Linked DNA regions of Oryctolagus cuniculus. The protein of the gene in region 1 interacts with the protein of each later gene in a pairwise test. Links are inferred from orthologs where the notes say so. Each region holds a gene or a part of one and is shown on either strand. Other genes may lie near its edges.

Evidence for each region.
Region 2: the proteins of RBPMS (region 1) and POM121 interact in binary tests that used the Homo sapiens proteins (3 or more experiments, as listed by UniProt). The two-hybrid records come from large-scale screens. The link is inferred for Oryctolagus cuniculus from reciprocal best matches to the Homo sapiens genes RBPMS and POM121.
Region 3: the proteins of RBPMS (region 1) and QKI interact in binary tests that used the Homo sapiens proteins (3 or more experiments, as listed by UniProt). The link is inferred for Oryctolagus cuniculus from reciprocal best matches to the Homo sapiens genes RBPMS and QKI.
Region 4: the proteins of RBPMS (region 1) and PER1 interact in a two-hybrid assay, tested with the Homo sapiens proteins (2 studies listed by BioGRID). The link is inferred for Oryctolagus cuniculus from reciprocal best matches to the Homo sapiens genes RBPMS and PER1.
Region 5: the proteins of RBPMS (region 1) and CCNK interact in binary tests that used the Homo sapiens proteins (3 or more experiments, as listed by UniProt). The two-hybrid records come from large-scale screens. The link is inferred for Oryctolagus cuniculus from reciprocal best matches to the Homo sapiens genes RBPMS and CCNK.
Region 6: the proteins of RBPMS (region 1) and GCM2 interact in binary tests that used the Homo sapiens proteins (3 or more experiments, as listed by UniProt). The link is inferred for Oryctolagus cuniculus from reciprocal best matches to the Homo sapiens genes RBPMS and GCM2.
Region 7: the proteins of RBPMS (region 1) and TFG interact in binary tests that used the Homo sapiens proteins (3 or more experiments, as listed by UniProt). The two-hybrid records come from large-scale screens. The link is inferred for Oryctolagus cuniculus from reciprocal best matches to the Homo sapiens genes RBPMS and TFG.

The regions. Positions count from the first base shown.
Region 1 is NC_091433.1:80,573,674-80,577,173, reverse strand, and holds part of RBPMS (RNA-binding protein with multiple splicing), read right to left. Parts: intron 1,786-3,500; coding exon 1,655-1,785; intron 1-1,654.
Region 2 is NC_091450.1:50,673,903-50,678,175, forward strand, and holds the start of POM121 (nuclear envelope pore membrane protein POM 121), read right to left. Parts: upstream 2,801-4,273; 5' UTR 2,761-2,800; coding exon 2,189-2,760; intron 1,542-2,188; coding exon 1,326-1,541; intron 1,059-1,325; coding exon 900-1,058; intron 1-899. UniProt on the Homo sapiens protein: Essential component of the nuclear pore complex (NPC). The repeat-containing domain may be involved in anchoring components of the pore complex to the pore membrane. When overexpressed in cells induces the formation of cytoplasmic annulate lamellae (AL).
Region 3 is NC_091436.1:5,210,496-5,213,995, forward strand, and holds part of QKI (KH domain-containing RNA-binding protein QKI), read right to left. Parts: intron 3,094-3,500; coding exon 2,950-3,093; intron 1-2,949. UniProt on the Homo sapiens protein: RNA reader protein, which recognizes and binds specific RNAs, thereby regulating RNA metabolic processes, such as pre-mRNA splicing, circular RNA (circRNA) formation, mRNA export, mRNA stability and/or translation.
Region 4 is NC_091448.1:52,634,356-52,636,732, forward strand, and holds the end of PER1 (period circadian protein homolog 1), read right to left. Parts: intron 2,341-2,377; coding exon 2,151-2,340; intron 1,806-2,150; coding exon 1,655-1,805; intron 1,364-1,654; coding exon 1,076-1,363; 3' UTR 501-1,075; downstream 1-500. UniProt on the Homo sapiens protein: Transcriptional repressor which forms a core component of the circadian clock.
Region 5 is NC_091451.1:43,336,013-43,340,240, reverse strand, and holds the start of CCNK (cyclin-K), read right to left. Parts: upstream 2,801-4,228; 5' UTR 2,558-2,800; intron 2,461-2,557; exon of another isoform or gene 2,241-2,460; intron 1-2,240. UniProt on the Homo sapiens protein: Regulatory subunit of cyclin-dependent kinases that mediates activation of target kinases.
Region 6 is NC_091436.1:159,772,536-159,776,629, forward strand, and holds the start of GCM2 (chorion-specific transcription factor GCMb), read left to right. Parts: upstream 1-1,294; coding exon 1,295-1,384; intron 1,385-3,576; coding exon 3,577-3,829; intron 3,830-3,930; coding exon 3,931-4,043; intron 4,044-4,094. UniProt on the Homo sapiens protein: Transcription factor that binds specific sequences on gene promoters and activate their transcription. Through the regulation of gene transcription, may play a role in parathyroid gland development.
Region 7 is NC_091435.1:55,298,795-55,302,294, reverse strand, and holds part of TFG (protein TFG), read right to left. Parts: intron 2,737-3,500; coding exon 2,569-2,736; intron 1-2,568. UniProt on the Homo sapiens protein: Plays a role in the normal dynamic function of the endoplasmic reticulum (ER) and its associated microtubules. Required for secretory cargo traffic from the endoplasmic reticulum to the Golgi apparatus.

The DNA.
Region 1 (3,500 bases):
CTGTCTGGCCCAAAGCCCCCCCCCCACCCCCCCCACGGCTCTTGGGCGCTGTCCACTCTCAATTCCCCAGGGTCACGGAGGAAGGCTCTGCTCTAGGTGACCATGGATGTCCACGAGACCAAGGCAGCGCGCGCTGCTTCACGGTGCTCACTGACATGGGCCTTAATGGCCAACTGAGCAGGCTCTGGGCAGCCTGGCAAGAGGAGAGGAGACACACCGCTCACAGCTGGGGCACTGGGAGACACACAAGAGGGGCTCCCGTGGCTGCTTCAGGTCACCCACAAAGAAGGACGCAGCTCACTGCCAACACAGCGGGCACCTGGTGCAAGAGAGAACCCTGGATTTCCGTGCTGTGCCCCCCGCCCCACATAACTTGCCAGTCTCTGAGGATTGCATCAAGCACTGACATGGGACGGAGAGCGAAAGCTACAGCGGATCTTTGCTCTCCTCTGCACCAGGCACTCTCACTACCACTGTCTTTTTTTTTGTTTTTTGTTTTTTTTTTTTTAATCCCCACTACTCATGCCACGCTCTACCTCCTCCTCCGAAGGCTGGCTGCTGGGGGGCCCAAGCGCCGAGGGCTCGTCTTTGGAGCTGACCTGTAAGGTGCTTGAGGCACTGGGAGAGCAGCCTGCACCTGCCCAGAGCACCCACAACTCAGCTGACGCACGGCGCGAGGCCGCCTGGCAGGGACCCTCGCTGCCGTCATCAAGAGAGTATTAAGTCGGGAGGAAGAGGGTTCTGGGAAGCTGCTTACCTCATGCAGTCTTATAAACAAGCCCTAAGAAAAACAAACAACGCCCTCCCCCACCTGTCCAGGCTGATTGGCACACGCAGTAGGACAAAGGACATTTACATCCCGTCTGCTTATTTGCTATCAAGCGTCACTCTCTGCAGGCCAGACACTGAGTGGTTTTTATTCCCAAAGGTGGAACCTTAACCTGGATCACTATTACTGCCACTAAAAGAAAACCTTGTCCCCCTGGGGAGAGGGAGCGCCAGTGTGTGGACGGTCATCTTTGAGCAGAGACACGGGAGTTTGTTTCTCAGACTCGGGCTATTCTTAGCTGAGAGAAGAGCCGGACAGGAGGACTCCGCCCTAACCTGTCCTTACGTTCTAGACAACACACGGGGCCTCTCCTGTGGGGTTTCCTGCAAAATGGGAACCTTTCCTGGGACGCACAGAAGACAGCGCAGTCTTCCCCCGGGGCACACGCTCTCATGGAGCAGGAAGCGGAAACCTTGAGACACACACACACGCACGCACGCGCACACACACACACACACAGCCCTCCTGCCACCCGGCAAGGCACACGCATCTATGGTCCGGTGACGCCCCCTGGCTAGCTGGCAGCTGGGGAGGTGACGCTGCCCCGCGCTCTCGTGTGTGCCATGAGGGTGAGGTCACGAAGGGGGCAGAGAGGTGTTGTTTGGGGACAAACATCAGGCAGTGGGTGATCATTGCTCTCAGACCGTCCTCATCAGTCCTGGGCAGTGCCAGCCGGATTTAGGGGAGTAGGGGGGGTCGTTAATCTCTTGAAGGTGGATCTGTTAGCCGGATAGGTGTTAGTGGTACGGTGTGCTCCGGGAGGGACCAGGTTGGAAAGGACTGGTGACGGGCGGAGTGAAGTCGTGGCCGATGGGTATCGATTACCTGGGCATGCAGTGAAGCGGGATAGGTGAAAGCAGGAGGAGGTAGAGCAGGCGCTAACTCCGCTGGGTACAGAGGGTACGGGGCCCACACTTCAGGGCTACTGGGGTAAAGTGCAGGCACTGTGAGCTCATCTGCAAGAAAAGAATAAGGGAAGAGTTAGTGCTTTCAAACCAGAAAACCCCACACCCGCAACCCCGAGTCCCGGGCAGCGCCGGAAGCCGGATCACTCTCAGGCCTGAACAACCAGTGGCTTCGGTTCCCTGGACTCCAAGGCAGGGAGTGGCAGACACAGAACTAGGCACATGGCGGGGGGCAGCCAGCACCGCCAGCCCGCTGGACCCTCTGAGAATCAGGCCCGGAACTGGCCTGGGCCCACTCGGACACTCTGACGTCTTGCCAGCTGCTGCTGGGGAGCCCACATACTGTAGGAATGGTCCCACGCAAACTCAAATGCGGCTCTCTCCAGGGAGAAGAGAGTCGAGTCGGCATGGGGAGAGCCCGCTACAGAGCACCTGGCCCAACGCTGTAGCCACAAGGCATCTCCGGTAAGAATCCAGAGCGTGGACGTGAACAGCCGTGAGTGTCTGTAACGAAGCCGAACAGGGTTTGCAGCTGCCGTTTCCACCGACTGCATTTTCCAGGGAAAAGAGTGATGTATGTTGCCAACTGCCGGGGCTAAATGTTTTCCTGCAGCTCCAGCTGCAGTCAGGTCAAGCTGCAGTTTGCCAGAGCTCGGGGCAAGGGCCGGCGCCTCACCCCGTATCGGGGGGCAATCCATTAAGAGTAATGGCAAACCCGCGAGGGAGCCCCTCCACCGCGGCAAAAAGACCGGCGGTCGATAGCGAGGGATTTGGAGCCCGCGGAGCAGCAATCTGGAGATGTGCTTTTATCACCTGTCAAAATCCGAAACCAAGGACGCTCCCCGGGACTGCCGAGGGAGGCAGGGAAAGGAGACTGGGCAAAGTCATTCGTGAGCCACGGCTAAAACAGCGCCGCTTCGCTCCTCCCCAGCACCTGGGCAGCCGTTTCAGGGCTGCCGTCTCCCTCGGAAACTCGGGGGCTCGGCAGGGTCCCCCTAACAAGGGAGGGGGGGCTGGGGAGAGCCAGCTGCTGGGGCACGGGGCTGCTTGGCGGGGGCGAGTCCATTCAGCAGGTGAATTCACCTCGCCTTCCCTCCCGGGGCACAACATGATCTCACACACATCTCCTCGCCACGAGGCAGTCAAACACACCCCCTCTGCCTAGGGCCGGGGCTGGAGCCAGCAGGCCACAGGAGTGGACCGAGCACATCTGACGACCAGGCCCACACCACCTGCTGCAGGGTCCCAGGCTGTGCAGGTGCAGCCCACAGCACCCGCGGTCCTCGCTGAGGGGCTGAGCACGCCTACCAGACCCCCGTGTTTCCGGTCATGACGAGGCCATCTGATTCCCATTAGGGAAACTCTTGTGGGAGCCCAGCTAGTGGAAACTAACCCCTGCCAGACCCAGTGCCTTGGATTTTAAACAAACAGCCATTCTCAGGAATGGCGAGCTATTACTGCTGCTGTTGTTGTTATTTTAGCTACCAGACTATTTTAAGATGTTCTGAGCCCTTTTTTAAAAGTCAAGAGCGTCTCAAGCCCCAGCTTGAGACAATTCTCTAGTCCACGCCGGCCCGGTGCCTGCTACACACAGCTGATCCAAGATCTTCAGGGGCACGTGTGTGGCCCGTAGCCTGCCAGTGCGCAACCTGCGGACCTGACCCGCGGAGGGGCTTCCTTCAGAAGGCTTACAAAACGACTTGAGTATGTCCCTTATGCTATCTGGCCCTAAAGCAATGAATAACAGATAAGATAAATCAGGCTGA
Region 2 (4,273 bases), on another chromosome or scaffold:
GCTCTGTCCACGGTGCCTGGACTGTGACCCAGCACACAGTGGGTGCTCAGGAAGTGCCTGTTGAATCGGAAACTGAGCGAAATCCTGAAGTGGCTCCTTGGGCAGCCGCAGAGTGCTCTGCACCCAACTGGCCACTCAGCCTCCGTTCTGCCCACGCTCAGGAAACAGACTCCATTTTTACTACATTAGCATGAAAACCAAATAGGGAAATTGGCTTCACGCTCATCGCTGATCCGCCTGCCTTACTCTGGTGCTCACTGTTCCTGGACAAGCGTTTCCTTCAGCATAAATACAGGATTTAACTGGTGATTACCCAAATAACTGCCAAGCACACAGCTGTGAGGGCAAGGTGTGAAAAGAAAACTGAACACATCTGTATCAAAATGTAGGAGCTGGGGCCAGCGCTGTGGCACAGCGGGTTAAAGCCCCGGCCTGAAGCGTCGGCATCCCGTATAGGCACCGGTTCGAGTCCCGGCTGCTCCACTTCCGATCCAGCTCTCTGCTATAGCCTGGGAAAGCAGTGGAGGATGGCCCAAGTCCTTCGGCCCCTGCACCTGCGTGGGAGACCAGGAAGAAGCTCCTGGCTCCTGGCTTCGGATCGGCACAGCTCCAGCTGTTGCAGCCATCTGGGGAGTGAACCATTGGATGGAAGACCTCTCTCTCTGTCTCTTCCTCTCTCTGTAACTCTTTCAAATAAATAAAATAAATCTTTAAAAAAAAAAAAAAAAAAAACGCAGGAAAACGCATCTGCCCTGTGCTCTGGGAAGCGGGCGGCCTCTACCTGTCCTTGTCGCCAGGCTCCTCTCCGAAAGCCAGGCTGGGGAGTAGCCAAGGCTCTCCAGCGGAAGCTGCTAGGAGCTGCGGGCCCGTGAGCCTGTCAGCACCCACTGCCCTGTCACCTTCTCTTATTCTCCAGGCCATCTGGGGACTGGCGGTCCTCTTCCTCCACCGTCCTCTTCTTCCTCTCTTTGAGGGCGTTCAGCACAGTCTCCTTCGCACACGGGTCTGGGGCGCTGGCTGCCGGTGAGGCCAGTGCTGCGTCGACGGTCTGCCCGGGGCTGGAATGGAAGACGAGATCCAAACAGTGAAGATGCTCCCTCCCCACTCCGAACGGCACAGGTGCGGTCCCTGGAAACCGGGGGCCCACCGACTCGCCAGAGTGTAGTGCCCCCAGAACCTAAAGCGACCGGCAAGACCATGATAAATGGGCGTTCCACTAGAATTTAGGATTTCTCTTTCAGATAAGTAGCTACTCCCTCTGGCTCCACGGCTGCTGGCCACGAGCAGGACTGCGGAAGGTGGTGGCCGCAGACGGAGGTACTCACAGCGGAGGACGGGTCAGCTTGCTGTCGGGAGGGGCTATCCGCACGGTCACTGGGCTACACACCATCTTGGAATTGCGCACGGAGAGCACAGCTTTCCTGGGACAACCATTCCAGCACACGGTGGGAAGCACTCCCAGCGCCGAGTACTGGGCTTGCTGGATCGGGTAGCGTCTTCGGGGCGTAATTACGAACCGATTCGATAAAGTCCCACAGTCCCTGCCGGCAACGGAGACGGCCCGCGTGAGCCCGCGCGATTCCCAGGCGACCCACACCACCATGGTTCTATGGCAACGCCCCCTACCCATTCCAGCTGAGGGCAGAGGGTGGCACGGGCTCAGACCTCAACCATCTGAGAGGGAAATTAAAACCTTGCCCAAACAAGTCAGGGAGCAGTGGCAGGGCGGTGTGCGGCCGGGGCGTGCAGGGAGGGGTTCTACCGCACCCACTCCCAGGCACGCCTTCTGCACCAAAAATCTAACCCATCCCCCTTTTGTCGGCTACCGGAACCAAACGAAAACGTTTCTTTAACTAAATCTGAGAGGTGCTGCCTCCAATCCCTCCCGGAGCTCTGCGAACAGAACCTCTGGTCCAGACGAGGCCGCAGCCAGCACGCGACAGGACCAGCAGGGACACGTCGGGGGTTACTAAACATTCGGATAAATCAAGACCACACTGAAGTGCAGGAGTTGCAAGTGGGAGGGAGAGCTCTGGCCACACGGTCTCTCGTTCCTACAGGGATAGGAGGCCCGGGGGCGGCCAGCACACACCACGGTTTTCGGTAAAAAGCACAAAACCACACGCGAGTCGCGGTTTGCAGGGCAAGGCCGAGCCGCCCGGGGGAGGCCGTGGGCCGCGTGTCCTACCTGTAGGAGGGTCGCCTGTTGGGTCGGAGAACAGGGGAGGAGAAGGAGGGGTAAGCCTGCGGGGTGCGGGGCGCCGGGGGCGCGGGCGCGCCGGCGCGGGCGGGCGGGCTGCGGCCCGGCTTCTCCCGCAGGTCCCTGCCCTCCTGCGCGCGGGCCGCGGGCGGCGGGCCGGGCTTGCCCAGGTAACTGCCCATGAGCAGCAGCTCGGCGGGGTCGGGTCCCTCGAGTAAGGTCCGCGGCTCTAGGAGATCGCCGTTTACCGCCGCCTTGGCCGGGGGCGAAGCGAGCAACGTTCGCTGGCGCCGCGCGTTCCGGACGAGCGAGGACACGGCGCGCGAACCGCGGGGCTCACGGCTCAATCCCCACCAGGCCGCGGTAGCCCCCACGGCCAGCCAGGCCAGCGCGGCCGCCGCCGGCACCAGGTACAGCACGAGGCCGAGCAGCGACAGGCCCAGCAGCGCCGCCCAGGCCGGCCCGCCGCGGCCCCAGCCTCCGCCCGCGCCCCGGCCGGCCCTGACGCTCGCTATGGGCCGCCGCCGCTCGCCTCCAGCCGCCGCAGCCGCCGGAGACATCGCGGCTCCGCGCCGCGGAGAAGACTTAAATATCCCAGCGTGCACCGCGCCGCGCGCCGGATGCGTCACTGCGCGCGCGACTCGGACGCGGCGCCTCCGGAGGAAGCGCTCCTGCCCGGCAACGCCCGCGCCCGCTCCCGACCGGGTTCGGGAAAGTGCGGGCTGCTTGCGGGAGGTGTCCCGCGCACCGTCCGCGGAGGACTCGCCTAAGGACTCGACGCTGCGGAAGGCTGCTCTCCCCAGCACCCTGCGCTCACACGTCTTGGGCGGCGGGCACTCAGCACAATTGCTCGCAGCGGTGCGGGATTTCGCAGTTAGCCCGGTTTTCCGACGGAGCGTTCGCAGCTAACGGGGATTGACGGCGAACCGCAAGGGTGGCGAGCGGGACCGCCGCGCCCCGCCTCGGCAGCGGGGATCTAGCTCTGAACACACTGCGGACCCAGCCGGACGGTGCTCCTGCAGGTCCCCGAGACGAGGGGCGGTTTTTGAGGGTTTGCGGTCCGTCTGAGAAAGGGGAATCGGCGGTTGCCGGGGTCTACAGGGTGGCGAGCAGGCAGCGACCGCTCCTGGTTCACGGGTTTCCGATTTAGGGGACAAAGTGTTTCAGAATTACGGCGTGGTGCTGGTCGCACGACCCTGCGAGCTACGCCTTAAGGAAGCTGTTTTTAAAGACCTGGTGGTTTGCCATTGCAGACCTTGGCCTGGCTCGGCTTTCCTCACTGATTCATCCATCCCGTCGACAGGCGTTAAAGGACTTAAGGGGGAAGGACAGATCGGAGCTTCAGGGCTCTCCGGTTAAGTGGGGAAAGAAAGGTGCACAACTCCGCGTGTGTGTGACGGGTGCGAGCAGACGCGCAGAGAGAAGGGACTGTCACCAGCCAGTGCCCTCAGTAGCCCAGAAGTCTTTACTGGAACTCGCTTCTGTTTGGAAACCGTGGAAGCAGCTGACGGCGTCCAAAGCTCTTTCAGGTTTTCGTTTACCTGGCAGGAGAGCACTGGCGCAGACGGCGCTAAGGGCATCCACCTGTCATTCCCGAGCGTGGCCCCTGGAGGAGCGTCAGCCTCATCACCACAACACGCAGCCTACCTTGGAGCCCACCCCTCCCTCTGACAAGAACGCCCCTTCTTACATAGTCAGTCCTCCTAAAACAACGGAGGCTTTGGGAAGATTCCCCTCAGATTCCTTTTTTTGCTGCAGATAAATTGCTTTGCGTGACAATTCCTCCTGGTGCAGGAAGCAGGCCCCGCAGTTGTGGTTGCATAACAGAATGAAGAGGGGAAGGAGGGCAGGGAAGCCGCTCGGGATGGAGCTGACAAACCAGCTGGAACAAGTTCCAGCCAGACGAGGGACCCCTGTGCAGAGAGGAGGAGGAGCTGACTGCCCCTTAATTGGGTTCCTCTCCCCGCCCCCCAAGTTTTTTTTAAAGATTTATTTTTTATTTATTTGAAAGAGTTACAGAGAGGTAGTGAGAGAGAGGTCTTCCATCCAATGGTTCACTCCCCAGATAGCCAC
Region 3 (3,500 bases), on another chromosome or scaffold:
CAAAGACAGTAATTATCAATTATGGAGAGGTTTTGTTTTGTTTAAATTTCTGCTTAACCCTGGTATCACCAAATATTTAATAATGTTCACCTTAATTAAAACAAATTCTCTAATACAGTATTCATGTCATAATAAACATATTCAATAAAATAAATAAGAAATTACTGCAAGTGTTAAATCACTGGATAGAAGCCAAACCAAAAAGTCTGTACTTTTTATCCTATGATTTATAATTCTAAGAAAGTTTTATTACCTCACTGTAAGTAATTTCAAAAAGCACAATTTAAAATTGTTACAATCTGTTCAATAACAATACTAAATTCTTCTATAGAAGATAAATAGGTTTATCATCAAAAGTGAAATTTTCTCCTTCAGGACATAAATTAAGCTTTTTAAAGTTTCTGTCATTCTTTTTATGAACTACCCTACCACCTTTTCATATTCAAAGACAAACCACTTTTAAAACAAAAAGTTCTGGGGCCAGCCCTGTGACGCAGCTGGTTAACACCCTGGCCTGTAGCGCCAGCATCCCATATGGGAGCTGGTTTGAGACCCAGCTGCTCCACTTCTGACCCAGCTCTCTGCTATGGCCTGGGAAAGCAGCAGAAGATGGTCCAAGTCTTTGGGCTCCTGCACCCGTGTAAGAGGCTCAGAAGCAGCTCCTGATTCCTAGCTTCAGATCGGCACAGCTCCGGCCAGTGCGGCCAATTGGAAAGTGAACCATTGGGTGGAAGATATCTCTCTCTCTCTCTCTCTCTCCGTAACTCTGACTTTCGAATAAATAAATCTTTAAAATAAATAAATGTAAAACAAAAAGTTCTTTGGAGATTGATTGCTATGACTCTCACTTTATAAACACATAAACAGATACAAATAAGTTGGAAATTTCTCCTACTTACACATCCAGGTGGAACTAATAGCCCAATATGCTTACAAAAATTTTTTTATATAGCTTACTGAATACAACACATTTATTAAAGAAAAGTTATACAATTACATGGTATAATAGTGGGCAAACAGAAATTCTAATTTATGCTCAACCTACTTATTTGTATTCCTTATAAGGTCAACAGAACTTAAATGAAATTTTTCCTTCCAAGGAATTAATTTTGTAAAGTTAATGGAAAGTGTATATAATTGGTGAGTTTACTTTTAGAAGACACTAGCAGGGTAATAAAGATTAGACTATCTGGAAAATAAAAACAGCAGATGCCATATTCATTTATGTCAATGTTAATACATTTTTGGTGGGCAAAGTACTAACAGTGTTATTAGTTTTTCAATGGCAATTAGGGTCTATCCTTCCATGTATTCTTACTATTGTAAAACAAAATTTAATAGTGACTCAGAAAACCAGTAATTTTCACTTCCTGTTGAAAAAGATAATAGTCTAGTAATAGTTGTAATCGCCATTTTAAAAATTACTAAAGGGTTACCTATTAATGAGAAGCACACCCAAAGGGAGAAGAGTAAAGAAAATGGAATGGAGGGAAAGAAGAGAACACAAAATTGTGTCTGAGTAATTTCTTACGAGATGTCACCCTCAAAAAGCATTCAATATCCTATTTACGACCTCTAAATATGAAATACAATAGTTTTATGATCATAGAAATAATAGTAAAGTTAAAAAGCTGCTCTGAATCATGCTTTACATTAGTAAAAGCTATCGTTTAAGTTTATTAAGATGACTTTTTATTACATTAAGGGAAAGTTTCAATTAATGTTCACTAATCTTTCTATAAGAGATAATGAGATGCTACCCCGAGTACCTGTCACTCATAGACAATTCAAATTACATGCTCCTACTAACACATCCCACCTACCTTGCATAAAAGTTAGTGGTAGAGACATCTACAAACTTACTACTTGTTCACAATAAGAAACAGCTTTTGAAAAAGAACAGCTTTCATTACCTTGCTGATGCTGTGCCTACATTCTCCTCGTAAATATAGTGATTCAAAAGACAGCATTTTTGAGAAGTCATATTGTGTCTGCTACTTCCTGCATAACTTCTTTACAAAAATTTATGGGAAAATGGGGGCCAGCGCTGTGGCACAGTGGGTTAACGCCCTGGCCTGAAGCACCAGCATCCCACATGGGCGCCGGGTCGAGACCTGGCTACTCCAATTCCAATCCAGCTCTCTGCTGTGGTCTGGGAAAGCAGTAGAAGATGGCCCAAGTCCTTGGGCCCCTGCACCCAGGTGGGAGACCCGGAAGAAGCTCCTGGCTCCTGACTTCAGATTGGCGCAGCTCTGGCCATTGCGGCCAACTGGGGAGTGAACCAGCAGATGGAAGACCTCTCTCTCTCTCCTCTCTCTGTGTAACTCTGCCTTTCAAATAAATAAATAAATCTTAAATACATATATATATGTGTGTGTGTGTGTGTGTGTGTGTGTGTGTATATATATATATATATACACACATGAAAAGGCTTTCCCAGTTAAGAATGTCAGCAATGTCTATGGTTTGCCCATTAGACTAGCACTAAATGAGCTATAAATTATTTTTATATTTTGTGGTTAAATGATAACCTATTCAGGGCCGGCGCCGTGGCTCACTAGGTTAATCCTCCGCCTGCAGCACGGGCATTCCATATGGGCACCAAGTTCTAGTCCCGATTGCTCCTCTTCCAGGCCAGCTCTCTGCTGTGGCCTGGGAGGGCAGTGGAGGATGGCCCAAGTACTTGGGCCCCTGCACCCGCATGGGAGACCAGGAAGAAGCACCTGGCTCCTGGCTTCAGATTGGCACAGTGCTGGCCGTAGCGGCCATTTAGGGGGTGAACCAACGGAAGGAAGATCTTTCTCTTTGTCTCTCTCTCTGTCTATAACTCTACCTGTCAAATAAATTTTTAAAAAATGATAACCTATTCTCCATTAGACTAAACAGCCATTAATTTAAAAAACCCTGAGAAGTGAGACCGAAATTTAAGATTTGGAAATAACTACTTACTGCAGGTACCAATAATTTCTTCACTTCCTCGACTGCTCTCTTCAGCTTGATTTCTGCTCTGTTCTGAGCATCTTCCACAGTGATTAGAACATGTAAGTCTTCATTTAGATGCTCCCAATTGGGTTTGCCTCTATTTTGCTCCTCCTAAAAAAATTACAAAATACAGTGTTATAAATTTTTCTCTTTAAAGAAACTATAACTGCATTATGTTGCCATGGTAACATTACAAACCTTATGAATTATTTCCCTCCCCCCACCACACACACACACACACACAGCTTGGGAATAAGACTACTAGGTTAAATGACAGATCCTATAATGAACACTTGTTGAACACCTACTCTGTATAGGAATGGAGCCAGATGCTAAGGATACAATAGTTGCATATGAAATCCCACCCTTTATAGAGCTTCTAAGTACAAACAAACTTTATATAAGGTATCACTAAATTATCAGGAGAAACAGTTTGAGAAGCAGGTTATTATTTCCAATTTCCTTAGGCGTAAACAGAATGTTGTCAAGGATAAGAAAGACAATTGCAAAAGAAGTGC
Region 4 (2,377 bases), on another chromosome or scaffold:
GCTTTAACCAGCTAAGCCACGGCGCCGGCGGGAAGGCGGGCCTGTCTCGCGGCACATCAGCTGTTTTGAGACACCATCGACGAGGCTGCGGAGAGGCCCGGCGCCGCGTCCTTCCACCCCCGGCTCGCCCCTGCCCCTCGGGGTCCGGGCTGGAGGTCAACGTCCCGCCCAGTTTTTCCCCATGGGTGCAGGACAACGGGTGCCCGTAGCACCTAGGCTGACGCTGCCCGAGGGCCTCCCCTACCCCACCCCCTCGGTGTGGTGACCTCAAGGAGCCGGGCCCCTTCCATCCATCTCTCCTTCCCGGGACACCAGCTGAGGCCATGCGCGGGCGAGCGTGGAGTCGGAGTTTGGTGCTGACGTCTGCAGCCGTCAAGGGCCCTCAGTGGAGGTGCAGGGAGAGCAGCGCCCACACCCTCAGGCAGCCCTCCGGGGGAGCGGGACCCCACCCCCCGCTCCAGCTCCCCGCTCCCAAACTTCATTCCACAAAGTCCTGATGGTTTTTGTTTTTCCGGTTTTGTATTACAAAAATAATAACAGACACGATATCAAAAACACAAATGCCATTGGTAGAGGGAACAGCTGAGAACGCCTGGGTCCCACCTGAGGGGCAGCACCAGGGACTCCGTGGTCCACCAACCTCCCCCACCCTGGAGCAGCTAGGGGCTCGAACCCCTGGGTCCTGCTTGGCCCTCAGTCCCTCGGCCCACGTGGGGAGGAGGTGGGAGAGAGAGCCATCTCCCCAATAAATAAGTGCAGTGAACCCTCGGGCTGACGCTGGGGCTCCGTGGGGTCCGGCGGGACTGCTTGAGCAGCTTGTCAGCAACCTGGGCTGGGGCAGGGCGCGCTCCTCACCAGGGGTGGCAGGGGACACCCCTCCAGGCTGCGCTGGGGAGTTCCACCCGCTGTTGCCTAACAGGACAGAGGCAGTCCCTGGATCCCGGGCTGGTGATGGGTCCAGCCCCCGCCCCCGACGAGCTGGGGCCGTTTCCTATTGGTCTGGCCACCTCTGGGTTCTGACATGAGGACACAGAAGGATGCCTCTCCCCGCCCAGAGGTGGCCCCCGGATGGAGCCTAGCTGGTGCCATTTTCCTCGGCGGGTAAGGCTGGACCAGATGAGCTCCCACCTTGCTCCTCCTCCTCCATGGCTGAGTCCTGGGAGCCGGAGACCTTGGCCTCCCCCTGGGCCCGGGCCTCCTCACCACCCTCACCCTCACCCTCACCACTGCCGCCACCGCCGCCGCCACCACCCTCGCCTCCACCCTCCTCCATGGGCTCCAGCCCCAGTCCCTCCAGCTCCGAGAAGACAGGGTCCTCAGGGTGGCCGGGGTCTTGGGCGCTACTGCCGCAGTCCACACAGGCCTTGGAGAGAGAAAGGGGGTACGAGTGAGGCAGGAGGCTCCTCAGGGCTGTCCGCCAACCCAGCTTCCCGGCCCCGGGGCCCAGCGGTGCTTCCCAATGTGTACCTGGGGTCCTACTGGCTACCCAGATGCCACTAGGGGACCATCACCACGGGCACGGGCAAGAGCAGGTGCATGGCAGTTCAGCCACGCCACCCAGCAGCTCATGGAATTCATGACCCAGCCCTTACCCTTTCTGCCTTGAACTTGTGCTCAATCCCCTGCCAGCCCCCCGCCCCCAGACTTCTCTCACCATCACATCAAGGGCCCGAGGCAGCTGGCCCTTCCGGACCCAGGAGTGCACAGCCCCCAGTTCCCGCCGCTGGTCCTCGGAAAACCGAGGCTGCTGTTTCTGCATGGCCCGGAGCCGCTCCCGGTCCTGCTTCAGCACGGACGCCACGTCCCTGCCCGGGGAAGGTTCGAGGCAGAGGCTAGGATCCAGGACCAAGGCCAGGCGGCCAGGACCCCCGAGGCTGGCAGTCTGCCTCTAGCAACCTCCCCGCCCACTACCTCGTGCTCCTCCCCTCAGCTGGGGCGATGGAGGCTCATGGCTCTCGGAGCCCAGGCAACCTGCTCTCAAGTCGGGGAAACTACTGATGGGGCTCCAGGGGGCCAGGGGCTGGATGGAGCCTCCAGGACAGAGTCCCAGGGAAGAAAACTCCACGTTAGCTGGGGAGGGAGGGTGGGCTGGGGCTGCCTTCCCCACCACCTCAACAAGGGAGGTGGAAGAGGCCTGGGACCCGCCTCACCTGGAGGGCACCTGGTAGGTCATCATGACACGCTGGTCAGCATTGGCCATGAGCAGCCAAATGGGATCCTGGAGTACATACTTAATGACCTGGTCTCCAGGCTCGGCCCTGGCCCGCGCAGCCCCAGCCTCTGCCTCTGAAGAGTCCACGCTGCCGAAGTACTTGCTCGTGTGGCTGCTCTGACTGCTGCCTGTGAGTGAGGGGCAACCGCTGAGTGGGCTGCCCGG
Region 5 (4,228 bases), on another chromosome or scaffold:
TGTGGAATCTGAAGTTATTCCAATTTAAAATAAATTACTGGACTGTGGGAAAAAAAAGTACTTATGTTTTACTTATTTGAAAGGGAGCTCTACAGAGAAAGGGCTCAATCCTCTATCGGATGGCTCACTCCCTAAATGGCTGCAACAGCTGGGGCTGGGCCTGGAGCTTCTGCTGGGTCTCCAGTGTGGGTGCCGGGTGGGCCATCTTCTACTGCTTTCCCAAGCACCTTAGCAGGGAGCTGGATTGGAAGTGGGACAGCCGGGTCTTGAACTAGTGCCCACATGGGATGTTGCAGGTGGAACCTTAACCTGCCACACCAGGACCAGCCCTATATTGATCTCTGTGTGTTCCGTTCCTTCCCTAGATCTGCTACATAGATGGCACAAAATAACTACCTTGTAAGAACTCTCCATCACTCCCACCTAGAGACTTTTAAAGCCTTGGAAACAGTTTCTCTGACCTAATGATTGCCTTTGAAATATATGAAGACAATTTTGCCTACCCCTCTTTTCTCCAAGGTAAACAAATTAACCATTTTTCCATAAGGGTTCTCAGGGTTTCTAGGTCTTCTCTAAATATTAGCCATCAAAATGAGAAAAAAAGAAACTCTGTAAGATCTATGTAACAGGTGGTCTGAGAGTAACACGTCCACGGTGTGTCCGCAGAGCTGCAGCTATGGGGCAAGTTACCTGTCTTACCCTTACAGCTGATCCCGGAGAAAACCAGCCGAGGAGACACGAAGTAACCTGCCCGGTGCACACCGCTGGCGAACGGCAGTCACAATTTGCTTCACTTCAGACTGAGATACTGCCTTCCCTCAGTGCAGCCACTACTTTACCTCCAGAACGGAGCACCACAACCCGGAACCATTTCCTGTCAAGCCAGTTCCTCCTCATCTCAAATACTCACAACTGAGATTTTGCAAATTTCGGTGTAAATTTAAGTTTTTGTAAATGTAGTGTCGTTCTTCTTCAGGACGACACTCACATCCAAATGCTTCGGGTTTGGTAATTTGAGCGGACGCCCATCCATCCGACTACAACGTCAGCCAAGCCGCCCAAATGTCCAGCAATCCCGCAGCCACCACCAGGGCCTGAGTCACCCGGCCCCGCAGGCCCGAGGGGCTCCGCTCTCCTTTCCCAAGCGCTTGCGGGAGATTCTACAACGGGTGACAAAGCAGCGCCCGGGAGCCGTCTCCGAGAGAACGGACACGCCCCGGAGCTCAGTTTTCCATCACAACTGCACATCTGGGGCTCCTCCAAAGCCACGGACAAGCGTATACAACCGACTCTGCCCCTCCGCGTGCGCAACTTCATCTGCGCTTAAACCCGGGAATGAGGCGACCCAACCAGATCCGCTCCGCCGTCTCAGTGACCCGGCAGGTATTTGTCCTCGCCCAGTCCTCATTTCCCTTCCTTCAGACACTCAGCAAACTCACCGCTTTCCACAGTCTCCCAAAACGAAGCTCATTCCTTACTCCAAAACTACGAGTGATTTTTTTTTTTGCTTTATGAGACTGAACTTAAAAAGAGCATTCAAATCTTAAGAATCGCATAAACAATTCAAATGTTTCTTTATTGCTTGCTGGTGCAAACTGCATTTTCCAAACAGCACACGCGTGAAACACGACTTAGGCAAGAATCCACCAACACGCACGACTAATGCGTCACTCGCTGAAGGGCGGTTTCGCTCGAGGTACCACCTTAAAAACGCGACAGGCCGGACAGCAACGGCCCCGGTCAGTCGTCCCTAACCTCCCGGGGTCTGCAAGAGCTCCGTTGAACGGGCCACAGCTGTCAGCGCCCTCGCTAACCCCCGGACCCACGCCCCGAGTTCCTGAGCTAACAAACCAACCCGAATCTCATCGCGGAAGTGCCTCTTCCCATCCCGCCGGCCCACCCCCGCTGCGTCCAGGGTCCGCTGCGGGGAGCGTGGGCGGTCCGCGGCTGCAACCCCTGCCCGGTTCCGCCACCGCAGGGAGCTCCTGGAACCCCAACCGGACCGCGCAGGGAGCGCGGCTGCCCGCTCCAGGGCCCACCCCGAGTCCCCGTCCGGCCCCTGCGCCTCAGCCCCTCTGCCGAAGCCCGCCAACTTCAGCGTGCACAGGAGGCGAGAGGCGGGGTCCGGAATCAGGGAAGAGAGACTCCGCGCGCGGACGGAGGCGGGTGGCCACACCCTGCTCCGACCCCCGGGTGAGCGGGAGCGGGGCGGTACAGCCCGCAGTCGGTAGGACACTCACCCCTCGCCTCAGGCAAGCCCCTTAGCTACGTCTCTCCTTGCCGACCGCGGCCATCTTGGATGTGGAATGCTGGGAACTCTACGTCATCGCGCTGCGTCGCGCAACGTAAAACGAGCGACCGGAGGAGCGGTGCGCACAGGCGCCTGCCAACCAATCAGAAGAAAGTAGAACTCCCAAAAAAACTAGCGAGCCGGGGGCTCTGCTCCCCGCCCACCCCGCGGTAAGCAGCTGCTGCGTGCAGGGGGAGGAGCCAGCCAAAGTGCCCGGCCCGACGGCCCCGCCCCCCATGGCGAAAGGGAATTCGGGAGCAACCGAACCTGCTAACGGAACTTGGGTGCGAAGGCGGGGCCCGAGCCGCCAGTTGTCCAATCAGAGCTATGGCGTGGACCCAGTCCAGCCAATGGTGGTCTCGGGGCTGGCGGCGGCTGATCTGGCCGCTCTGGCCCCCGGGAGCCACCAGCCCAATGGCTGCGGAGGATCCCGGGCGGAACGGCGGCCCGGCGGCGGGGCGGAGCCGCGCCCATGCGTGCGCGGCGCGGGCCAATGAGCGGCGGCGGCGGCGGCCCGGGGGCGGAGTCCGGGGGCGGGCGGAGCCGGGTTGGGCCGCGGCTGCGGGGCCGTCTCAGGCCGCCGTCCCGCCCTCCCGTCCGGCCGCCGCCGCCGCCGCCGCCGGGTTGGTTGAGGCGGACGGTGGGGTCCGAGCGCGAGTGAGGCGCCGCGCTGCGCGGAAGGGGAAGCGGGCAGGTGAGTGTCGGGGCGGCGTCTCCGCGGGCACGGGCCGCGGAGGTGGCCGGCGCCTCGGCCCCCGAGCGCTTCCCGGCCGCTGCCCCTCGGCCCAGGTCCGGCCCGCGCCCCAGCCGGCCGCTGCGGGCCCCGGCGCGGCGGGTGCGAGCGGGCAGGGCCCCCGCCCTGAGGCCCAGCGGGCGGGCGCGCCCACGAGTCCCGAGGCGGCGGCAGGTGCAGCGGGCAGCCCCGGCCGCGGGCTCCGCGTGCGGCGACGCCGCGCTCCCGTTCCTGCCGGCGGAGGCTGTGGAGGTGGGGTCGCGCTCCCTCCCGACGCTCGGGGCCCCCGGGCCGCGCAGTTGGCGAGACCGCCCGGGAAATAGGTCGGCGCCGGCCGGCGTCCGCCAGGGGCCCGAGCGGGGCGTTCCGGTGGTAAACTCTCGCTTCCTGCCCGCGGCCGCCGCGGCGCGCAGCCCTGGCTCCCCGGGCTCCCCGGGCTCCGCCGGGCCTCGGGGGCGGCGCGGCCCCTGCCCGGCTGGCCCTCGGCGCGGCGGCGGACTCCCGAAGTGTGCGCCTGCTCCAGCCCCTGCGCGCCCCGAGAGGTCGCCCTCCGGCGAGGGTGCGTCCGGGCCTGGCCCCCGGTGCTGGGGGTCCCCCCGGGGCCGTGTGGACTCCGCCGGCCGCCGGAGCGCGAGTTTCATCCCGAGTAAAAGCTCTTCCTCCTCTTCTCCCTCCTCCTCTCCCTCCTCCTCTCCCTCTTCCTCTCCCTCTTCCTCCTCCTCCTCTCCCTCTCCCTCCTCTTCCTCCTCCTCCTCCTCTTCCCACTCCCCCACCTCCTATTTTTTTCTCAAAATTGACCCTGCCGGTGTTTAACACCGGAGCTGCGGCGGCGATGTCCATTATTTTGAGCGAGTGCGCTCAGCTCCAGGCTACGGCAGGTTGGAAGCGGCTTTGGCGCGCCAGGCCGTGTCTATGCGGGCTTCCCGGCGTGGAGTCCTGCCTCGCCAAGTGAGGCCCCGGGGCTGCCGTGCCTGCCGTCTTGGTGAAGGGCCAGCGGCCGGCCGAGGCGCTGTCTCTGGCTGGGAGAGCGGCTCGCGCGGCCGAGTGCTCCGGCAGCCACAGGGCGGCCTCTGTCGGGACCCGGCGGCCTCTGCCCTCTGCCTCCCTGGCCCTAGGGGAACACCTGAACTGGAACTCCCGGCCGAATGGGCCAGATGGAGGCCGCTTCTCCTGCGAGGGAGCCGGGGTCGCCAGGTGGGAGCGCT
Region 6 (4,094 bases), on another chromosome or scaffold:
CGGTGTTGCGCACGGGGCGCGGGTCTCCAGGCTTAGAGCCGTGCTGGTACGGAACAGCTTCTAACAGTGATACGCTCGGCTCTCTTTGACCAGGGTTGGAAACTGTGGGCAGCAAGACAAGAGCTCAGGGAGCAAATTCTGGAAGCGCAGCGCTTTTAGTCGCTTCAGTTGCGGGCGCGTAGGTGAGGCGACCGCATAGGTGAAGACAGCTTGGTCCTAGCCCTGGGAACCACATCGTCCTCGCCAGGGGTCCTCCAGGCCCCCGGGGCCTCACAAGGCTGTGATGGAATAAGTGAGATTTCGTCGTGAGATTGCCACAATATCGATAAGTATGTATTTTTAAACAGTTGTGTTTAGAGAGCGTTGGCAACGTCGGCCCCGCAGTTACGAAAGCTGCAGCTTGAAGGATGTCCAGGCAGCAGAGAGATCCGCAGGTTCTTGGCGACTCAGGCGCCTGGCCCGCCCAGCTCAGCTCCTGGCCCTGGCCAGCTAACTCCGGCGCATCTCGCCCGCCTCCTTCGGGGTCCCCATCCGGACTCCCTTCCCGCCGGCCAGGTCCCCCTGCAGCCCTTGGTGGCCTGGGCGCGCCAAGGCTCGTCAGCACACGGAACGCCCAGTGACCCCTCGAAAGTCCAGAGGCTCCGGGACACGCACAACACCAACCGCAAGAGCTCCAAACCCGGACCAGGGTTCCCGCGCTGCCCCGGAATTCAGGGCTGGCTCCCGGAGGACTTAGCTGGAAAAGCTCCACACCAAAGTCCTAGATCTAAGCCCCTCTCCGAAACACGGAGCCTGGGCGAGTTTCAAAGTAAACTGGTTTGCAACTTAAATGAGACGTTTCCACCCCACCCCCGTCCCAGCGCCTTAGCGTCAGGTTCCCTTGGCTTCCCGGCTCGGCTCAACGTTGATGTCTCGGTTCCTGGCTCTGTCGGAGAGGGGGTGACTTTACAGAGGGGGGCGAGGAAAGGCGGAGCGGCTGCACCTGAGCGATTATAAACGTGCGGGATGCTGGGGTCGGGCGAGTGCCTTCAGCACCGCAGCCGGGGACAGGGCTCTGCCTGGCTCCCGAGCTACAGCGCGCAGCTTCTGGATTTTTATCTCTCTCTCTCTCTCTCTCTCTCTCTCTCTCTCTCTCTCTCTCTCTCTCTCTCTCTCTCACACACACACACACACACACACACACACACACACACACACACACACCTTTCCTTTTAAAGAGAGAAAAGCCGCCGTGCGCCCCTCTCCTCTCTTCTCTTTCAGGATCCCGCGCGGAGAGCGCGGGCGAAGCGCACCGATGCCGGTGGACGCCGGGCAGAACGCGGACCCTGTGTGCTCCCATGGGATGAAGCTCACCTGGGACATCAATGATCCGCACATGCCCAAGGTGAGAGCGGCACGCGTGGCGCGGTCCATCCAGAGAAGGGGAAATGGCAGAGACCCTGTGAGCAGACCCCCCCCCCCCCATTTCTGAGCGCCCTCACACGCAGAGGGAATTTCTGTATTCTCTACAAAAGATAGATCTGGGTTTGGGGCTGTGTCTTCTCCCCGCGATTTCCTTGTGCGCTTGTCTCAAAACACAGCGAAGGCAGCAGGAAAAGGCCATCAGGAGACAGTAGACTCCCTCACTTTCCTTTACCCAAGAGAGAAATCAAATGCCTCTCTGCTCCTCCACTTATTTGAAATCCAGTAGAAATTGAGGGAAGAATCTCAACAATGTAAATACCACTGCTTCTCTCGCATTCAAACTGTGAAAGAAGGCTGTAAATGGAGGCGACTTGAATCTGAAACAATTTATTCAGCCATTCTCTACTGCCTGGATGAAGGAAACTCCACAGTTACACTCATGGGGCCATCAGCATAGTCATTCTTTTAGGGTGAATTTTTTGTTTTAATGGGTGGGAATAGAGAGAATGAACTGGGAACTGAGCAGTACCCTTGGTGATGCTGGTTCAAGTCAAAAAGTCCTGGTTGCAGGTGAGGGGACCATGGGAGTTGCTTCCCCACACATTTGTGAAGGTAGACCTGCAGCAACATGGTGGCACAGGGTCAAGAGACATAGCATTTATTTATCTTCTATTATGTGCCAGATGGGTGTTCAGAAGAACAGCATTTCATTGGAATGCAACATGTCTTTGGACGTGCACTTTGTAGTTTGTTTCAAAGTCTACCTACTTCAGTGCTGCACTGTGCATCTGTGCACAAGTGGACCACAGTCCACACGTGTGTCTCGTTCTTGCTGACTTCTGTCCACATAAATCCTCATGGAAAACATTCTGAACTTGTATTTTAGGTGAGAGTCACCTCCAAATATGCAACAATGGCTCATCTCTCAAGGATTTTCTTTTGCTTGGGAGATGGGTTCTTCAGTAGGGAATGTGTGTAACATCTCAAATGCAACAGACTCATTGGAATAGTGAAAGAAAATAGAGGAAACGTAGCAAGCTAGCACTGCTCTGCCTAACCAAAGGAGAAGCTAAACAGGCTCCCTGACCTTGAGAGAGTCCTTGAGTTTGCCTTAGTCTCAGAGATGGACCTGTCATCAGGTGGAGGAACTAGATAACCATCTCAGCTCTGCCTTGGCCCTACAGTCCTGTTCTCTTTGTGTGTATCTCTACACATACAAGCATGTCAGAGCGAATGAAACCCAATCCTGCAATCCTTTGCTGATGTTTTGATTTTCAAATAACCTCCTCTGTGTCTTCACCTGCCGTGTCCCTGGCCCCGTAGCTGGGTGAACTCTGGGGCTCAGTCTGTACCGTCAGGGGGGGTTCAGTCTGTACCGTCAGGACAGAACTCAGGGTATACTCTCAGTGGCTGGTTTATTACTAAGATGCTAAAGTTGAATGTTCAGAGATACTCGCGTTTAATAAAAACATGGAGTTAGCAGCATGAATACATCACTTGGGACTTAACCTTAAATCAGTATATTAATTTATGCTAAGCTGGCAGTCTAGAGGAAAGCTGTCTTTGCTTCTCTGATGTTCTGCAGACATTGCTGATTATGTTAAAGTCCATTTGGTTTGGCATAGGGCATCAAGAGCTTTTGGGAAAAAAAACACACTGGGCTGTAATACAGATTTTTCCAAGGATAAAGTTCATCCCCATGATAGAGAATTGCAGTCCCTTTTTTACCCTGGCACTTTCACACTCCACTTGAAAATCGCATTTAAACAAACCAAGAACTGGTAAGAAACATAGGCTGTGGAGTCCAAGTGCCGGGGTACAAATCCTAGAGCTGGGTCTTGTGAGCTGTGTGACCTTGGCCACGCCAACTGACCCCTCTGATGTCCATGTTCTAGTGGGTAAAATGGGCAGAGTAGTACTTCCTGCCTGCACATGTGGTAAAGGCTAGATGAATTAATACAGTGTAGCGTTTAGGAGACAGGCAGTGTATACTCACCAGTGACTAGCCATTTGTCCCAAAGGCCAGGAAGAGCAGCATTTTGTGGTGGTATGGTTTGGTGTTTTGCAACATTTTTTGGATTGAACAATAACCTGTTCTTCTTCTAATGGGCTTGGAGAAAAGGGCGGTGCGTGTGCTTGGAGCCCGGCCGAGTTCAGCACCTGTCTTCACAGGAGCCAGCCCACTTCGACCACTTCCGCGAGTGGCCCGACGGCTACGTGCGCTTCATCTACAGCAGCGACGAGAAGAAGGCGCAGCGCCACCAGAGCGGCTGGGCCATGCGCAACACCAACAACCACAACGGCCACATCCTCAAGAAGTCGTGCCTGGGCGTGGTGGTGTGCGCGCACGGCTGCGTCCTGCCCGACGGCTCCCGGCTGCAGCTGCGACCGGCCATCTGCGACAAGGCGCGGCTGAAACAGCAGAGTGAGGGCGCGGCGGGGCGGGGCGGCCTGGGAGTCGTGGGTCCTCTCCCCCATCTTCCCGCAGAGCCCAGGGTCTAATCTCTCTCCCTCCGGGGTTTGCAGAGAAGGCGTGCCCCAACTGTCATTCGCCTTTGGAGCTGATTCCTTGTCGAGGGCACAGCGGGTACCCTGTAACCAATTTCTGGCGGCTTGACGGCAGCGCCATATTTTTTCAGGTAGGTGAGGTGAGACTATAATTCGTGATGGGCATGGAGTGTAGCTCCGGT
Region 7 (3,500 bases), on another chromosome or scaffold:
ACCAACGGCAAAGGAAGACCTTTCTCTCTGTTTCTCTCTCTCACTGTCCACTCTGCCTGTCAAAAAAAAAAAAAAAAAAAATTAAAGGAAAATGGAGTTAAAAGTTTATGTTGACGCAAAAAGGTCCGAAATCTACAGTTTTTTTCATGTCTTCCATGAACTCTCTGAAGAATTCACTCATATTTAAATACAACATTCCATATTTAAATACGCAATTCTTTAAAACCCATTTTTAATTACATACTTCTAGTAAGCTTTATTGATTCACAAATACTTTCTTCCATTACTGAGCTTCAATGTAGTTTACTTTCTATTATGATCCAATGTCTATTTTACATTTCTGAACATCTCCCATCTTCCTTCTTAAGCTACGAGTTCTTTTAGTCAGATACCTATTTCTTGATTCTGTCTGCCTCACAAGGTCTAGCACTGTAACTTACAAAAAATTCTTCCAAATTAATAAACATAGCACTGTGACATAACAGGTTAAGCCACTACTTGTGACACCAACATCCCATGGGGGTGACAGTTCAAGTCCCAGCTGCTCCACTTCCAATCCAGCTCCATGCTAATGGTCTGGAAGCTGCACCACCCACATGGGAGACCCAGATGAAGCTCCTGGATTCTGACTTCAGCCTGACCCAGCCTTAGTCTTTGCTGCCACTGGGGAGTGAAACAGCAGAAGGATAGGGTTGGGGACATCCCAGAAAGCTCAGAAGAAAGCAGCACCTACAGCTGGATTGAGCCCCATGTGAAGAAAAGAGAGAATAGTCTGCACACACAGAAATTAACTCCCTACTAGAGCTAGAATAAGAAAAATCTTTTAAGAGAACATAGAGAATCACAAGTTACTTCAACATATTAAACACAATATATGGTTTACAACCAAACAGACAGACACAGACACAGGAAAAAACAACCATACCAAGGGTGGGGGAGGAATATTAAGCAGTCAATAGAAACTGATTCCCAGTGGGCCCAGATATTGAATATTGCAGGCAAACAACAAAGCAGCTATTATGGACATTTTACAGAATTAAACAGGGTAAGCACTGTGGTGCAACAGTTAAGCTGCCATCTAAGATGCCAGATCTCATATCAAAGAGCTGGTTCAAGTCCCAGCTGCTCCTCTTCCAATCCAGGTCCTTGCTAGTGTTCCTGGGAAAGCTGCAGAAGATGGCCCAAGCACTTGGATACCCTGCACCCAAGAGGGAGACCTAGATGGAATTCCTGGCTCCTGGCTTCAGCCTGGCCCAGCCTAGACCATCGCAGTTATTTGGGGAATGAACCAGAGGATGGAAGATTGCCTTTCATATAAATAAAATAATCCTTTAAAAAAAAAAAGAATTAAAAATATATTCAAAGAATTAAAGGAAAATATCTTAATGAACGTAAGTTAACAAATCTCAACAGAAAAGCAGAAACTATCAAACAGAAAAAAATAGAAACTATAAAAAATATCTAGAGATGAAAAGCACAACTGAAATAAAATATTCCCTAGAAAGGTTCAACAGCAAATTGGAAATAGCACAGATAATCAGCAACCTTGAAGAAAGTTCAATAGAAATCATTCAGTCTAAAGAACACAGAGTAAAAAAGACTGAAGAAATGTAAACCTCAGAGAGTCAGGAGACAATATCAAGCTCTTTGTGTATAAATTAGAATCCCCAAAGAGACAAACAAGCAGAAAAATGAAGACATGACGGCCAAAAAATAAAGTACAAACCCCAGCATAGGTGTTTTTTTAAGGTTAAACACTAATTCATATAATAGCACTTTCTACACCACTATGGTTTGAGCGTTCTCCCAAATGTCCAATAATTAAGAGCATGTTCCCCAGGGTAGTAACTGTGAAGTGCTGGAACATTTGGAAGGTAGGACTTGATAGGTAACCAAAGACCATGTAAGGGACCATGGGATCCAGTCTCTCTCTGAATTCCAGTTTTGTGATGTAGGCTCTTCTACACACCAAGCTCTACCATTTTGTAACTACAGCTGGGGCCTCTGTTAGAACTGAGCCCGTGCAGACATCATGCTCTTGAACCTTCAAAACCATAGCTAAATAAACTTTGTCTCTTTATTCAAGTTCTTACACAGGTATCTAATTACAGTAACACAAAGCTAACATACCCAGTAAAGCAAGTTAACAAGAAATCTAATTTCTTGAATGTCAGGTCAGAAGAGATAATTAAACCTATTAAATATAACTTAAGCCATGCAACAAATGTGAAATAAAATCACAACATAGTTCAAATTTTTTTACAAAACAATTCTTCAAATTTTACCTTCAGTAAAGTTTATTTGGCTCAAATAGTGATTCTTCTTTAAAGGGGAGAATGCTACTGAACTGGGTAAAGGTACAAAAAGGCTTTCTGGAGTACTGGAAATCATTTGCACCTTGATCTGTTTGGTATTTCACACAGGTGTATACAACTGTCAAACTTTATTGGACTGAATTCTTAATGATTTGTTCACTGAACCATATGCAAGTTATTCATCTATTAAAGAAGGAAAGGGAGAAAAACAGGAAGAAACAGAAATATGGGAGGGATGCAGGTATTCACGTACCTGAAACCTGATCATCTGTTAAGCCAAATGCTGACATAACATTTTTATTGATTTCATCTTGGTTTTTCAAAGGGTCAAAAGCTGACATACTTGCTGCCATAACCTGAGTAGACTGTTTTCCAGAAGAATCAGAAGCAGTAGGTTTTTCTTCCCTACCATCCACAGTATCTATAAGAACACAAGAATAAACAATAAACTTGTATCCTCTTGATCTACATTCAATAAAGTTAAAAAAAATGAGACAGGGAAGTAAATACATTTTGCATGAATATTGTTTAGATATCTGAATATAGGATTATGTATAATTTGTCTTCCTTATATATGTTTATATTTTTACCTTTAAAATAAAAGAAAAATCTATGTCCTTCCCTATGAATTATTACAAGTTCCTTAACAAATAAAAATATTTTACCTTTTTATGGAGCCCTATGTCCTATATATCCCATCCTTTATCAGATACATAATGGGCACTCAGGAAAGATCAGTTATAGGAATTAATGCTTTATTTTGTACAAGAATAAGCTAAAACTATATTCTCAACTTTTATGACTTCTCCTGTGTGTTGGCCCACTATTAAATTACATAGAAATCAGGGCCAGCACCGTGGTGCAGTGGGCTGACGCCTGAAGCGCCAGCATCCCATATGGGCACTGCTTCTGATCCTGGCTGCTGCTCTTCCAATCTGGCTCTCTGCTGTGGCCTGGGAAGGCAGTGGAAAATGTCTCAACTCCTGGGTCCCCTGCACCCACATGGGAGACCCGCAGGAGATGCCTGGCTCCTGGCTTTGGATCGGTGCAGCTCCGGCCATTGTGGCCATCTGGGGAGTGAACCAACAGAAGAAAGACCTCTTTCTCTGTCTCTACCTCTTTGTGTCTACCTCTCTGTAACTCTTTCAAATAAATAAAATAAATCTTTAAAAAAAATTATATAGA